2 linked regions of the Lepisosteus oculatus genome follow. The protein of the gene in region 1 purifies or fractionates together with the protein of each later gene. This does not show direct contact. Links are inferred from orthologs where the notes say so. Each region holds a gene or a part of one and is shown on either strand. Other genes may lie near its edges.

Region 1 (8,057 bases):
TAGGGTCTGACAACAACCTACATAGCCAGTGTGCTACAAGAAACTTTTAAATAACTTCTTAGTTTTTAATTGAGTGAGACAAGCTTATCACATGAACATCTTAACAGATTACAAAGCGGTTAGAGCTAATCTCTCTCATAACAAAGTATAGAGAAAGCTTAAAGAAGGGTTTAGATAGTGTACATTTCGCACAACCAAGATATCAAAAAAGAAGATGAATGAAAGAGAAAAAAAAAGAACAAAAACTGTTTAGAAAAATCTGATTTCATTACAAGTTTTGCAAAAGAAGACCAAGTTTGCATTTCACTGCTAAGCATTGGAGCGGGCAGGAATATTGGCTTGGTGTCTCTCCCTCTGGGAAAGAAAGCTCTGTGTTCTTTCCAATTCTGCACTCTGACCTCTTAATTTTTAAAGATTAATAAATAGGTCAAGGCTTCCCCCTAGAGGGAAAAGAGAAAAATAACTACGAAAGCATGGATGATGAGGAGTGCCATACTGCCTCATTCGCTACCAATTATCGGAAAGCTTCTCAGTTCTGGTACAGGCCACAGCAAGGTGTGATTATGCCCTGTGTGGAATACAGCACCCACACAGTCAGGGACAAGGACAATGACCTTTCAGAAACACCAGCTCACCTTGACAACACATCTTTCGGAGGTGAGAAGAAACTGGGGGACAAAACTGAACATGCAAACTCCACACAGAAGATGCCCTAGCTGGAACTGAGCTGTGAGGCAGCAGCGTTAACTGCCATGACACAGTGCTCCCCTGCACCACCACGCTTCAGAGTCACTCTGTGCCCAGCGACTGGTGGCTCCAGTCCTTGAGATTCAGTGGGTTCCCTGGCACCTGTTTGTCTGATCTGGCATTTCATCCCGAGAGCAAAGTGTGAAGGTTTTCTCAGGCAATGAACAATGATGGAGTTTTTGCAGTCTTATAGGAAAACAGATTATGAGCATTTCCTAAATAATAATAATTCCTTACACTTATATAGCCCTTTTCTGGTGATGAAGCCAGTTCATAGATAGGAATTATTAGGAAGCCATGATTGGTAAAGGACAGGGGGAAATTTGGCCAGGATGCCGGGGTTACACCCCTACTCTTTTCAAGAAATGCCCTGGGATTTTTAATGACCACAGAGAGTCAGGACCTTGGTTTTATATCGCAACCGAAGGACGGTGCCTTTTTACAGTATAGTGTCCTATCCACTATAAGTTATGGGCACTAGGACCCATACAGACCGTGGGATGAGCGCCCCCTACTGGCCCCTCTAACACATCTTACAGCAGGAACCTTAATTTCTCCCAGGTCAACCATCCAGGTACTGGCCAGGCTCACACCTGCCTAGATTCAGTGGGCTAAGGAAGATAAAATCAGCATAAGGTTTAAACTATTTTCTTGGATAAACCTGTTAACTCTAGGGATACTCATTATCTAGTGCGGAGACTGACATTAGCAAACAAAACAAACCATTTTAAGAGCCATATTCGTAACCAGAAACCAGTCTTTGCAGGTTCCTCTCCGCTGCTCAAGCGAACAACAACATGTTCAATATCTTGTTTCTAAAACAGATTGTGGTCTGACATAACCTCTTCCTATGATCAGCAAAACGAAAACCATCTAGCTCTCTTTACGCAGTTTTAACTAATTGCAATATGGGGACACTGTACTTCATTCTTTATTTACCGACCACGAGGGTGTTATAGCAATTAGGTCGAATACTTTTCCTGTGAAACATTTACTGTTTCTTTTTTTTTTTACTTTATATAGCTAGGATACTTTCCAGAGAATGTTTAAAGTTTTCGAAAAACAAGAGAAAATAGTGATTTCACAACTGATGGAAAAATTAGGAGTGAATGAGAATGTTAAATACATTGACAGTATACACTATTAACAGGACAATCATATATAAAGTAAATGTAAAACAATAGCGCCGGGTGCACAGAAACAATGTTAGCTGTAAGAGAAAAAAAAACTGTGGTTAAGTAAACGTTGAAAAGTAAAAAATGTGATAACGTGCAATGCCATAAAGCATGCCTTGGATTGGGTGTAAAATACATGATGAGTGACAGCTGGACAGTCAACAATACAGGCGAGCGGAACACAAACGCGAGTCGCACAGACACGAAATTGCACCTCCGGTTCGACCTTCGCCGATACTCTTGGGTCAGGAGAGCCGAGGCGCCCTGTTACTGTTGCACCGGTCTCAGCCGTGCGTTTGAAGACCGGGACCAACAACAGAGAGACCACAGCAGCAAGCGCACTTACATTTCGGCAAGTTCGCCTTGCAAACTCGCCATTTTCCGTTTAACCCTCTGAAGGGCGCTGTGCAAGTCAGGAGCCCGGCTGCTAGCGTGCATCGGCCCAGCAGAGCCCTGTCCTGCTCCATGCCCGGGGGGTGTTTCTCACAGAGCAGACCCCCTGCCTCCCCCCCGACAGCGTCTCCAGCAGCACTGGGCCGAAGCAGAAACCGCGAGCACTTCCAGGTCACCGGCTGCGGAATTGTTCTGGAAACAATGTAGTTGTTGTTGTTGAGCACCTTTTATCTTTAACAATCAAATACGTGTCACCGTGGTCGAAACTTTCAACTCCCCCCACACCACCCATGCGGTTCTGATATTACCAACATTATTTTACAAAGTATTTTAATGAACGTCAGATGAACAGAACTCCCATCTGAGCCTGGTTGTGAAAACGAATATTCATTGGATTTGTTTTAAGTCAATTCTTCGTGAATTGCATTTTTTCTCTCTCACTCAATTCGTATTTTGGTAGGATATACAATGACGAATTATTTCAGCCTTCAGCTTTTTGCAAATATATGCAATATATGCTTCTTTTTTGCAGAACTATCGCATCGATTTCATATAAAACATAATTTGAGAACAGACACCTTTTTTTTCGCATTTCAGGTGGGTTTAATTTTTTAATGGGAGACAGATATTTAAAATGTATTTTTTTTAATCCTCCAGTGCATTATCCTATCCTACTTTATGTCCGTTTAAAAACAAAATCATACTTTTAACTTTTTTTTTCTTGGAACAGCGAGACACATCTACGTGCATCTATTTAAAAAAAGAGTTATTGAAAATCGTGTCATGAGCACAACGTCCGCGATTTCACAACTTGTAGGTTCTTCGACATGTGTACTTGTAGTTTTCTTGATTAAAACTGTAGTCACCTGTTTACACTTTGGGAAACAACAAACACAGCGGTACACATCACTTACCGAAAAAGACAGGTTCTCGAGCAGACCGATGGTGATTTTCTGTTTATATCACGGCTAGTAACTTCTATATATTATTATTATTGTTGTTGTTGTTGTTGTTCGGATTTGTGTCCTAACAGAGAAACTTTTTCTTCCGCTGATGTCACGTTTCCACTTGGGAAGACGACGAGAGAAAATGCCCTGGAGTGAGTGAGGTGTCTGGTTGCAGGCAAGTGGGGCGCTGTGAATCCTGAAGAGGGCAGTCGAACGCTTTGGATAAGGAAAGGGAAAGTACACTAGTCAGCCATTATTTGGGCTGAATACTTCAGCCACAAAAGTAAATGGTCTAATACTGCTCACCCTATCCATGCTTTTAAAGTTGAATTCCCTTTTTATTTGAATTCTATTAGAAATTTAAAGAATCAAAAGGCAATGGAGATATTTCCATACAATGAAAATATGTAAAAAGTATAACTTTTAGCTTGTCAATTCCCCTGGGTGTGAAGTGTCTATTTCTGTATCTATTTTAATATTCTGTCTCCTTTTTTTTGTATTTCTGGGGTTTCAATAAAAACTTATTGAAAATACTTATTTCAAAACTTATTGAAACGTATTTAAAAAACGTATTTTTAAAAAAGTACAGTAGTAAGAAATGAGGCGTATCTCCTTCTTAATCCACCTTAATGTTAACATTATGGGGGATTTGGTCCATCAGTAGATCTGAGCTTTTCCTTTGAATAATTATCTTGAATCTGTCACACTAGAACTAGCTTTTAATTTGCTTAGGAACATTCACAATACTTTACACATTTACATGAACTTACATTGCACCTTGGGTTAAAACGTGCTATACAAATGTAAGTAGTTTAAAGTAGTTTAACATTACTCATAGTTATTCTTGTCCAAAACTATTGTTCATCATTTTTTTGTTTTGAAATGCATTGCTCCTGAGTTTCTCTATTATTTCTAATTATTTTTATTATGTGTGGTAGATATGGGGAAGCTGATAGCACCCACCTGTTATTGTAGCGACCTGAGTATACGGAACAATCGCACATAAACAAAACTACAAGCCTGGATGTCGAAAATGACTTATTCAATTAAGTATGACACAAATAATATGTTAAAGTATATATACATATATATTTCAAATCTGGTATTGTATACATTTCCAACCATCTGTATGAGAAAAGCATTTTTAATTGAAAAAGACAGAACTAGTATAAGATTTTATTGTCCCCTGAGGGAATTTTTTTATGGACACCACGCACTCCCGTACATTTAAATAGAATGCAAACACCAAAAAAAAGAAGAAAAGAAAAACATTGCACATTCTTCTATTACAAAAAATAAGAAAAACAATGCACATCACTCTATTGCACATGCACAGTATAACACATAACAACATGTAACATTTATAACGCATCACAAATCATAAACAGTGTATACATATATGAAATCATTGCTTCGGAATTTCTGCTGTATTTTTCGAGAAGGTACGCGTGGTACAAACGGACTCTCCACTCTGCGTGAAGCAGAATCGCAAGAAGTTTGATGAGCCACAACCCCGTACAACGTGACGGCTTTCCAAAGGGGAAACAGGCCGTTTTGTCCTTTCCACCAGCAGGCGGCGCTGTCCGAAGAGCCGAGGACAGTCCCGGCAGCGCCGCTCATCCCAGTGGGGCGAGATTTCAGCCAATCGGCTTGTGCGTTGTTAGCCGGTGGGAGAGTGTGGCAAGTCGGGAAATTGACAAACCTAGCCAGCGAGAAAGAACAGCTTGTAGGGGCAACAATACATATATTCTTGACGTTGTAGCCCAAAATGAGTTCAATTGGCACCGGGGTAAGCGACGAGTCTTTGAAATGTCTGCCATTATGGCGGATAAATTACTGTATCTTAGCAAAGTTGGGCATTTTTAGAACTAAGCGTTTTCCGGCCTTTTTAGCTAGCCGTACGTGAGCGGTGAGGTCCGCTGAATTTCGGTGGCTTCTTGTTGTGCTTTCAGTCATGAACGTGTCTGTCACGGAGAGGTTGTCTCTCTTGTACTTTGTTTTTTATTTTTTTTTTTGCTCTGTGAGATACGCTGCAAGGCGCTGATAACGATTGTCCGGAGGACTGTGCGGACTTGTATGCTTGCTGAGTCACTAGCTCGGTCGGCGATGGTGAAAGTGAAAGCGATTGGTACTTGTAGCAATTTGTTAGCAACTCATCATAGAGTCAGTACTACCCATTCCTTCCTATTATATTTATATTTTATTTCCTTCCTATTTTATACATTATTTAATTATAGGAAGGCAAGCATGACTTTGGGCGGGGGGGGGTCTGTGGGAATGATTGGGTTTTAAGTCATGTTACCGTTGCCTGTATTGTTGTTTTTCCATTTTGAAAGAGTAGAAATGATAAACAATATTCAACACAAGGTGGAACACAAGGCAGAAATGGAAAAGATGTGCTTTGAATTGTTATATTTTAACGTGTAATTCGATATTATAATTGTAATTCACCGGGTGCAATCAGAGGCTTCTCTATTTAAGCTCGTTAAAACAACTCTGCACAGAAGAGTACTATATTTTTGTCTAATACCTAGATTGGGGCACGGGGATGCCACGTTTACCATTTGTTGTTTTTTTTCATTCGTAAAGCAAAATGACAAAGACTTGACGTGAATTAATGTGATTGTCACAGACACATCTCAGAATAATTTACCAATTTGTTTCGAATTATGGCTGAATAGCACAGATGGCACCCATGTGAGCTACACTGATGTGATGTATGAACTCTGAAAGAAGTGGTTTCACAGAGCTCAATCCTCCCGTCTGATTGTGGTTGTACACCTCTGATTTCAGTATGATTTGTCTGCATCTACATTCTCCCCAGACGGGAGAGTTTTTCAAGTTGAATACGCCATGAAAGCAGTAGAAAACAGCAGGTGAGTCTTGTCTCCTCTTTCTGAACTGTGAATGCAGAAAGGAGTTGGTGTTGTGAAGAAAATTGCAAAGGCATGCTTAACGTTTTGTACACCTTTGCTGCTGATGTGCCTGTTAGATACTTAGTGCTGCGCAAAACACATGTGATTGTCGTGAGCTGCTGCATGGCAATGACTTTGAAGACTAGTTTCCACTGGCATTTCAGCGGTAAAACTAAAGTGATGTCATGGCTCCAGGAAATATTGATTCAGTGGGTACAAAGATAGAGAAGTGTGTGTGTGCAGTGTACTATATTAGTCCCATCAGAAGCTCAGAATATTTTTTGATTGTTTGCTTCAGTCCATTGGTTTTTAAGAAGGGACTAAACACCTGGTCTGTTCATACTCTTTGGATTCTCCCAGCCAGAATTTGCTCTCATTGCTGCTACTAAAATGGTTTTTGTTTCCGTTCTGTAGCACAGCCATTGGGATCAGGTGCAAAGATGGGGTGGTGTTTGGAGTTGAAAAGCTTGTCCTCTCCAAGCTGTATGAAGAGGGTTCAAACAAACGCATCTTCAACATCGACCGGCATGTGGGAATGGTAATGTCTGTTTCAGCATTTCACCAAAAAAGGCTAGGCTGCGAGTTGGCATTCTTTCACACTTTTAGATGTAAAATACCCATTAGAAAAGATGGTAAAGGAGCATAAAGATGCCTTTCGTTTTGCCCCACAGGCGGTGGCAGGACTCTTGGCAGATGCGCGATCTCTTTCGGAAATTGCGCGAGAGGAGGCTTCCAACTTCAGGTCCAATTATGGTCATGACATTCCCTTGAAGGTAGGAGATTTTTTTAACAACCATAAAATAGTCCCTAAGCCACCATTATCATCCCATTAAAAAGAATGGTTCATTTTCGTGTAACTTCTGACGAAAGATGTTTAGTCCTTGACCTCTTCATTCGAAAGAGAAGTAGAAACTGACAGAAGTTACCAGTACGCACAGTGACAGATCACATTTACTAGGAGGAAATACCTTCTTGAAAGAAAATGGTGTTTTTTTCTGATATTGCTTTGACAAGAGGCAAGATTTCATGTAGAAGATGTATTTATTTCACAGATGCCTTCACACAAGGAAGGCAACATTTGGTAAAAACAGCAACTGAACTGTATTATGTAACTTCTGCACTGTTTATTTTTACAATTTTAAAGAGATTCCGTGTATGGTCGGCTTATTCTGGGGTAGTAGCATGGAGTGATAGTCTGATTACAACTTCTGTCTTATTCTTGCAGCACCTTGCTGACAGAGTGGCCATGTACGTGCACGCGTACACCCTGTACAGTGCGGTCAGGCCCTTCGGGTGCAGGTAATGGGATTCAATCTTTGTTTATTAACAGTGGCGAATAACTACTTTAAAATACACTGTACTATGTGCCTGTGTAAGTAAATGACAAAGTTGAACTGAATTTCCATGTGTATTGTAGTTTCAGCTGTAGGCAAATCTAGTAAAATACAGTATCTGGGGCTGTGATGTACAGTTAGAATATTGTGAAAAGAGAGACATGGCTGCTATAATAAAGAAGCCTTATAGTTCTGTTTAAGTCCAGCAATCGGCCCTAGTAAACTAAAATTAAATGAAAATTGGCATTAAATACTTTAGTGAAATGCTTGGTCTTTCTGTAATTATAGTCTTATGTTTTTCTATCTCACACAGTCTCTTGTAGATTTGTCAGTGAGTTCCACAGTTGTGGTGCTGCTGCACACGTAAAGGCTCTGCTGTTCTGTGTGTGGAGCCTGAATCAGCAGAGTAAAACAGCCTGAATCAGCAGATATCGAATAAAGGGCTCGATTATAATCATGCAGTCGGTCTTTAAGATAACTTGGAGCTAGACCATTCAGTACTTTCTGGGTGAGCAGGACAAGCCTGAAGTCTACTGTAATTTAACA
Region 2 (7,683 bases), on another chromosome or scaffold:
AGTATAACACACTATACTGTGCAGTCGCACAGAGCACAGCAGTGGGCAGGGAACTCCACTGCGCTGTACCACACACTGAACTGCACCAGGACACACACACAGTCACACAGTCCGTACCAGCAGCAGGGCCTCCATCTCCGCGATCTTCTGGGGGAAGAAGGAGGCGACCAGATTCTCGGCCTGCGAGGAGAGACACGTCAGGGCAGCCCGTGAGCACGCTCCTGCAGGCAGATCCCCCACAGCAGCGCGCCACCCGACCGGCCGGGCGCGGAGGGGCCTGCTCGGACCCCAAACCGCTCACATGGGCTCCAGCTCCAGCTCCAGGGCGCCCCCAAGCCCTGGCTCTCCCTCCCCCAGGACACCCTTTCAGGAGTAACCTGACTGCACCGCAGCCTGGCTTCCCTTCCCAAACAGCTTGACCACACCACCAGAGAGTCTGACCACACCACCAGAGAGCCTGACCACACCACCAGAGAGCCTGACCACACCACCAGAGAGTCTGACCACACCACCAGAGAGCCTGATCACACCACCAGAGAGCCTAACCACACCACCAGAGAGCCTGATCACACCACCAGAGAGCCTGATCACACCACCAGAGAGCCTAACCACACCACCAGAGAGCCTAACCACACCACCAGAGAGCCTGACCACACCACCAGAGAGCCTAACCACACCACCAGAGAGCCTGATCACACCACCAGAGAGCCTGACCACACCACCAGAGAGCCTGACCACACCACTAGAGAGTCTGACCACACCACTGGAGAGCCTGACCACACTACCGGAGAGATAGACCACACCACCACACAATTTTTGTTCTGTCTCTTCGGAGGCCTTCTGGGGCGCCTTGCTCAGCTGTAGCACGTTTACACCCCAATTTCCAACTACTCTGCCCTCACCAGCGCCCACCCCAGGACTTCACACAACTAGGCAACGGAGCCATCCCCCAGTCTGGGTGCACCTCCCTCTGAGAGCGACAGTTCCCTGAACAAAACACTTCGCCAGCCTCTCCTGTCTGCTGGAGGGGTGCAGGAGTCCGGCTCGCTGGGGCCCACGCTGCCCCTCTCTGAACCGCAGGAGCTCGACCACACGACAGCCCCACGCTGCCCCTCTCTGAACCGCAGGAGCTCGACCACACGACAGCCCCACGCTGCCCCTCTCTGAACTGCAGGAGCTCGACCACACGACAGCCCCACGCTGCCCCTCTCTGAACTGCAGGAGCTTGACCACACGACAGCCCCACGCTGCCCCTCTCTGAACCGCAGGAGCTTGACCACACGACAGCCCCACGCTGCCCCTCTCTGAACCGCAGGAGCTCGACCACACGACAGCCCCACGCTGCCCCTCTCTGAACCGCAGGAGCTCGACCACACGACAGCCCCACGCTGCCCCTCTCTGAACTGCAGGAGCTTGACCACACGACAGCCCCACGCTGCCCCTCTCTGAACTGCAGGAGCTTGACCACACGACAGCCCCATGCTGCCCCTCTCTGAACCGCAGGGGCTCGACCACACGACAGCCCCACGCTGCCCCTCTCTGAACTGCAGGAGCTTGACCACACGACAGCCCCACGCTGCCCCTCTCTGAACCGCAGGAGCTCGACCACACGACAGCCCCACGCTGCCCCTCTCTGAACCGCAGGAGCTCGGCCACACGACAGCCCCACGCTGCCCCTCTCTGAACCGCAGGAGCTCGACCACACGACAGCCCCACGCTGCCCCTCTCTGAACTGCAGGAGCTTGACCACAGGACAGCCCCCGACACCTGGCGACAGCTAATGCACAAGTCTACAAGTGACACACAGTTAACACAACACAGAGACAACACACAACACACAATTAACACACAACTATAACACCCCACGAACACTGCACACAGCTAATGCACAAGTCCACGTGACCCACAGTTAACACAACACAGCAAAAATGCACACAGCACAGACGCGACACACAGCTGATACACAGCAGCCGAGCAGACAGCGGGGACTCCTGTGACCTGCCATGCGCTCTGAGTGGGCTCACCTCTTTGGACAGCTGTGCACAGAATCCATCGACCTGCAAAACACAGCGAGACACATCATCGTCCAACTCCTCACAGTTCACTCTCTCCCCTCTCCAGTCCCTCTCTCCTCTCCAATCCCTCTCTCCTCTCTCCTCTCCAATCCCTCTCCTCTCTCCTCAGTCTCTCCCCTCTCCAATCCCTCCCCTCTCTCCTCAGTCTCTCCCCTCTCTCCTCTCTAATCCCTCTCCAGAGGGTCTCCAGACCCCTCACAAACCCTCTCCCTCCTTCTCTCCACTCTCCCTCCTCCTCTCCTCTCCAGACCCCTCACAACCCCCCTCTCTCCTCCTCTCCACCCCTCTCTCCTCTCCAGACCCCTCACAACCCCTCTCTCCTCCTCTCCAGACCCCTCACAACCCCCCTCTCTCCTCCTCTCCACCCCTCTCTCCTCTCCAGACCCCTCACATCCCCTCTCTCATCTCTCTCTCCTCCTCCCCACCCCTCTCTCCTCTCCAGACCCCTCACAACCCCTCTCTCCTCTCCACCCCTCTCTCCTCTCCAGACCCCTCACAACCCCCTCCTCCTCTCTCCCAGTCTAGGAGTCAGTGTTTTGACAGGTGTAGCTCAGGAGGTGCAGACACAGAGAGTCGGATTACACTCGCACACTCCGAGATCTGTCTGTCTCTCTCTTTCCTAGACTACTGCCCCCTCATCTCTCAATAATAATAATAATAATAATAATAATAATAATAATAATAATAATAATAATAATAATAATAATAATAACAACAACAACAACAATAACCTGTTTCTTCGTCTCTGGCTTCATTTCCAGCGGATTCATCGCGGTGCGGTACTTGAGTAAGGTCTCGTCCGGGCTTTGCTGCTGGAAACACCGATTACTGTCACGACTATCGCTATTATCACGACAGCAAGTTCACCTGCGTTACAATTGGCTATCGTGCAATTTACCGTGCGATTATACCCCCTTCGAAGGTGAATGTTATCTGAAGATGTGCGCTGCTGCAGGCCTCGACAGACACGGTTAGTCAGCACTGTCGAAGTGAAACCGAAAGTTATGGAGAAACCCGAACATACGAACTAACAGAACAAAAAACTCAACTTCACTCATGGGGATTTCCTTGTAGTCTTCTAGCCCCGGCCGTCCCGGTTGACTGAAGCGTCGAAAGCGGCGCAAAGGAACTACAACTCCCATGCCTAGCTTCGTCCGTATCTTTAACTTTCTAAATCATGTGCATATTATACAGGTATTTATTTCTTCAGTAATAGTCTTTTGTGATCTTATGCCAACCCGCATTGATTTAGGAGCAATATTTATTTATAAGAGGCTGAATAATCACTTTTCGTGTTACGTGCGGGGGGAGAGTCTCTGAACTCGCTCCGGTACCCGAGAGCGTCTCGGCGGCTCGCTGCTGTCGTGACGTCACGGCGACCGAGGCACCCTGTGACGTCCCTGTCCCCACAAGCTCCGACGCTTATTGTACTGTTGAATAGAAAATTTGGAAAAAGAGCATTTATTTAAAGAAAATGTATAAGTCATTCATGGTAAATGTCACATTCATAAATCAAAATGGTCTAATAGTACTCCCCTTTTTAGTGCTTTTGAAGTGGAGCTGAAACACTTTTTAATTTCTATAATAAATTTGAGAAATAATGAAGCAAGGAAAACACATGATATATATAAAAATACAATTTGATCACATCATTTACTTCACTACCTCTGGCGGTTAAATGTTTTTTTTTTCTGTTTGTGTTTTTTTCTCTCGTACCTGTCTGTTTCGGATCCTATGGTTGTAGTTGTATTTGTAAATTCTTTATATGTTTAATAAAAAACAAATAAAAAAGGCTCCGATGCTACTCCCCGCTTCTAACGCTTGCACGCTGGAGATGAGCTATTGCTTAAGCCATACACTATAAAGACGCTGAGAACATCGTAAACTCGAGCTTAAGATCGATCGTTAATTGACGAGTGTTTCCCCAAATCCGTCGTTACTGAAGTAGCACGTTAAACCCTTCGCACTCGACGTGCTCCCCGACCCGCTCGTTCATCACTAAGGGCTTCTTAAACTGGCCTCCTCCTGCCCACCCTGAGCGCCAGAGATCCCAGACAGAGCACCGTCACTTCACGGCAGGGGCATCCTCTGGGAATACAGGACACTAAGAGTTTATATGAAGGAGTTTGATATTTTGCTGTACCATGTAAGAGGAAATTTGGAAAACGAACATTTATTTATACAGTAATGAATTTATTAGTCAAATGGGCCAATAATACTCCCTCCTTTAGTACCTTTGAGGTGGAGTTTAAACTGGATTTAAATTCCATAAAGAACGTGCAAAAATGCTAAAGCAAGGAAAACATTTGATATTTGTAAACATGTAGCTTGGTTACATAAATATTCACCTCATTCCCGCTGGCAGTTAATTGTGTTTTTGTTCTGTTTATGTTGTCTGTCTTTCATCTGTATTTCCCCTCTACCTGTTTGTACGGGAGCGGCGAGGGCGCATGCCCAGAGAACCCCAATCCGTTACAATACACTTCATTCAAAAATAAAAACGGCTAAGTCTTATACTTGACTAGATGATATGATTGCCGCGATGAAATGCAGTAATGCCTTATTTAAGTGAAATCATTGGGTCTCACATGTATTTATACTGTTGCGCCACGCAGGGCGCGTAAGCAGGCGCACGCCAGGGCGGACTGAGAACAGCGCCCGGGGGCGGGACTGCGGGGCTGTGTAGAGCCGGGCGGAGGCTGGGAGACACTCTCTTCCCTTCGTGTGTGTGTGTGAGAGAGTGTTAGAGTTCCTCTCTCTCCCCCCTCAGCCCCGGGCTCACTCTGGACCCAGCCCCTGTGTGTGTGTTTGTGTTTGTGTTTGTGTGTGTGTGTGAGAGAGTGTTAGAGTTCCTCTCTCTCCCCCCTCAGCCCCGGGCTCACTCTGGACCCAGCCCCTGTGTGTGTGTGTGCAGGGCTGTAACCCCTGTCCCTGTCCCTGTGTGTGTGTGTGTGTGTGTGTGTGTGTGAGAGTGTTAGAGTTCCTCTCTCTCCCCTCAGCCCCTGTGTGTGTGTGTGTTAGAGTGTGAGAGTGTTAGAGTTCCTCTCTTTCCCCCCTCAGCCCCGGGCTCACTCTGGACCCAGCCCCTGTGTGTGTGTGTGTGTGTGTGTGTGTGTGTGTGAGTGAGAGTGAGAGTGAGAGAGTGTTAGAGTTCCTCTCTCTCCCCCCTCAGCCCCGGGCTCACTCTGGACCCAGCCCCTGTGTGTGTGTTTGTGTTTGTGTTTGTGTGTGTGTGTGAGAGAGTGTTAGAGTTCCTCTCTCTCCCCCCTCAGCCCCGGGCTCACTCTGGACCCAGCCCCTGTGTGTGTGTGTGCAGGGCTGTAACCCCTGTCCCTGTGTGTGTGTGTGTGTGTGTGTGTGAGAGAGTGTTAGAGTTCCTCTCTCTCCCCCCTCAGCCCCGGGCTCACTCTGGACCCAGCCCCTGTGTGTGTGTGCAGGGCTGTAACCCCTGTCCCTGTCCCTGTGTGTGTGTGTGTGTGTGTGTGTGTGAGAGTGTTAGAGTTCCTCTCTCTCCCCTCAGCCCCTGTGTGTGTGTGTGTTAGAGTGTGAGAGTGTTAGAGTTCCTCTCTTTCCCCCCTCAGCCCCGGGCTCACTCTGGACCCAGCCCCTGTGTGTGTGTGTGTGTGTGTGTGTGTGAGTGAGAGTGAGAGTGAGAGAGTGTTAGAGTTCCTCTCTCTCCCCCCTCAGCCCCGGGCTCACTCTGGACCCAGCCCCTGTGTGTGTGTGTGCAGCGCTGTAACCCCTGTCCCTGTGTATGCACCTTTCCTCGTTTCTCGTTATTAAATGTGTTGTTCAACCCCATTCCTCGAGCCCCACGCCCGCTCCGTTCCCTACCGAAACCCGCGGTCGATGCCATATTTAAAAGTCCAATACCGTTTTATGTTCTGTCGTGATTGATGACGGTAAAGCTTAGACCTGCTTCTTTTCAAACTTGATTATTGGTCCTGTATTTGTCGAGTTGAGTGCCAAGCTTGGTTAGTTCATTGTTACAGATGTCGTGTTAATAAGACCGATTAAAATGGAGTTCCAATAAACCCAATAACTATTAATAACAGCAGTATTTTCTCATGAAACACTGATTCTTAACAGTGGCAGCGCGCTAAAAAATATTGCTTTAAATCGAAGACGCCGTGCAGGATGCATACACTCTCCACACAGTCAGTCTTGGTTTTCTTTTACGGCACGTCAGTCATTTATTTTCTTTTCTCTTAGAAACAATAAGTGTCCCATTTTGTGCCTATCGATACGCTTTCGCTTGAATGGCTGTTAAATTATGATGTCGTGTTTACTTCATATTCCTTTTCACAACTTAATTTCAACCCACTGAAGGACCAAAACCGACACCATATAATGAACGTATCGTCGATCGATTGTTTTATCAGCAATTTTGCTAAGCGACTTCAGGGGCGGGGTGAGCAAAGAAGTACTTTATACTCGCTCTAAAATGACCGATTAAGGGGGGGTTTGGGGAAACGCGCGAAAAAGTAGTACGTACATCGTAATGCTGCTCGTTAGTCTCTATGATTCAGCGTTTTCGGGGAAACTCACCCCAGATTTGTAATTATCTCCCCAGGACCAGGACTGGAACCCCTGACCTACAAGACTGGGGACTGGGGCTCCCCAAGACCAGGACTGGAACCCCTGACCTTGTGAGTGACCCTGTTTCGGACCCTAGCACCTGCGGCGGTGCCTGCGACGCCGTGTCTCACCTGCAGAGCGGCAGGGCGCGCGTCGTGCCGCGTGTCACGTCTTCACAAGCTGCAGCGCGCTCCGGGACCGAGCTGTAGTTTGCCGGGTTGTCCACCAGGTGGCAGAGGCGTCACCCGGCCACGTCGTTCCGGGACACCGAGCGACCGGACGTGGCTGAAGGGGAGTGATCTGGAGATAACACGTTGCCACTGATGAATTAGGTCAAGACTGCAGAATCAGATAATTCTCTTTCACAAAATAAAGAATTTCTGCTTCTGTTATTTGAATTTATTATTCAGATTTTGGCTTTGCGCAGTTAATCACCTGAAATGATCAACTAAAATATTCATGTTAAATGACCTCGCTTAACAGACTCTCCACTCTTTGGTACCAACACACCTTTTCCATGTCAGCTACTTCATGGAAGATTATCTACACTCTCTAGAGAATTCACTTCAGTCCCTTTAGTGAGCAGGATTCACTACATTCCCTCTAGTAAAGAGGATTCTCTACATCCCTCTAGTGAGAGAATTCACTACATTCCCTCTAGTGAGAGAATTCACTACAGTCCCACTAGTGAACAGGATTCTCTACAGTTCCTCTAGTAAAGAGGATTCACTACAGTCCCTCTAGTGAACAGGATTCTCTACAGTTCCTCTAGTAAAGAGGATTCTCTTCAGTTCCTCTAGTGAAGAAGATTCACTACAGTCTCTCTAGTGAACAGGATTCTCTTCAGTTCCTCTAGTGAAGAAGATTCACTACAGTCTCTCTAGTGAACAGGACTCACTACAGTTCCTCTAGTGAACAGGATTCACTACAGTTCCTCTAGTAAAGAGGATTCACTACAGTTCCTCTAGTAAAGAGGATTCACTGCAGTCCCTCTAGTGAACAGGATTCTCTACAGTTCCTCTAGTAAAGA

What was found.
Region 2: the proteins of psma3 (region 1) and psme1 purify together in Homo sapiens (affinity purification with western blotting; 4 studies listed by BioGRID, with this or other methods). This does not show direct contact. The link is inferred for Lepisosteus oculatus from reciprocal best matches to the Homo sapiens genes PSMA3 and PSME1.

What each region holds. Positions count from the first base shown.
Region 1 is NC_090703.1:4,537,023-4,545,079, reverse strand, and holds the start of psma3 (proteasome subunit alpha type-3), read left to right. Parts: upstream 1-4,912; 5' UTR 4,913-5,030; coding exon 5,031-5,051; intron 5,052-6,055; coding exon 6,056-6,138; intron 6,139-6,591; coding exon 6,592-6,715; intron 6,716-6,848; coding exon 6,849-6,950; intron 6,951-7,402; coding exon 7,403-7,476; intron 7,477-8,057. Other genes in the region: mipol1 (mirror-image polydactyly gene 1 protein), read right to left, coding at 2,269-2,360. UniProt on the Homo sapiens protein: Component of the 20S core proteasome complex involved in the proteolytic degradation of most intracellular proteins. This complex plays numerous essential roles within the cell by associating with different regulatory particles.
Region 2 is NC_090699.1:14,406,745-14,414,427, forward strand, and holds the start of psme1 (proteasome activator complex subunit 1), read right to left. Parts: upstream 3,102-7,683; 5' UTR 2,974-3,101; exon of another isoform or gene 2,885-2,973; 5' UTR 2,846-2,884; coding exon 2,807-2,845; intron 2,058-2,806; coding exon 2,025-2,057; intron 181-2,024; coding exon 118-180; intron 1-117. UniProt on the Homo sapiens protein: Implicated in immunoproteasome assembly and required for efficient antigen processing. The PA28 activator complex enhances the generation of class I binding peptides by altering the cleavage pattern of the proteasome.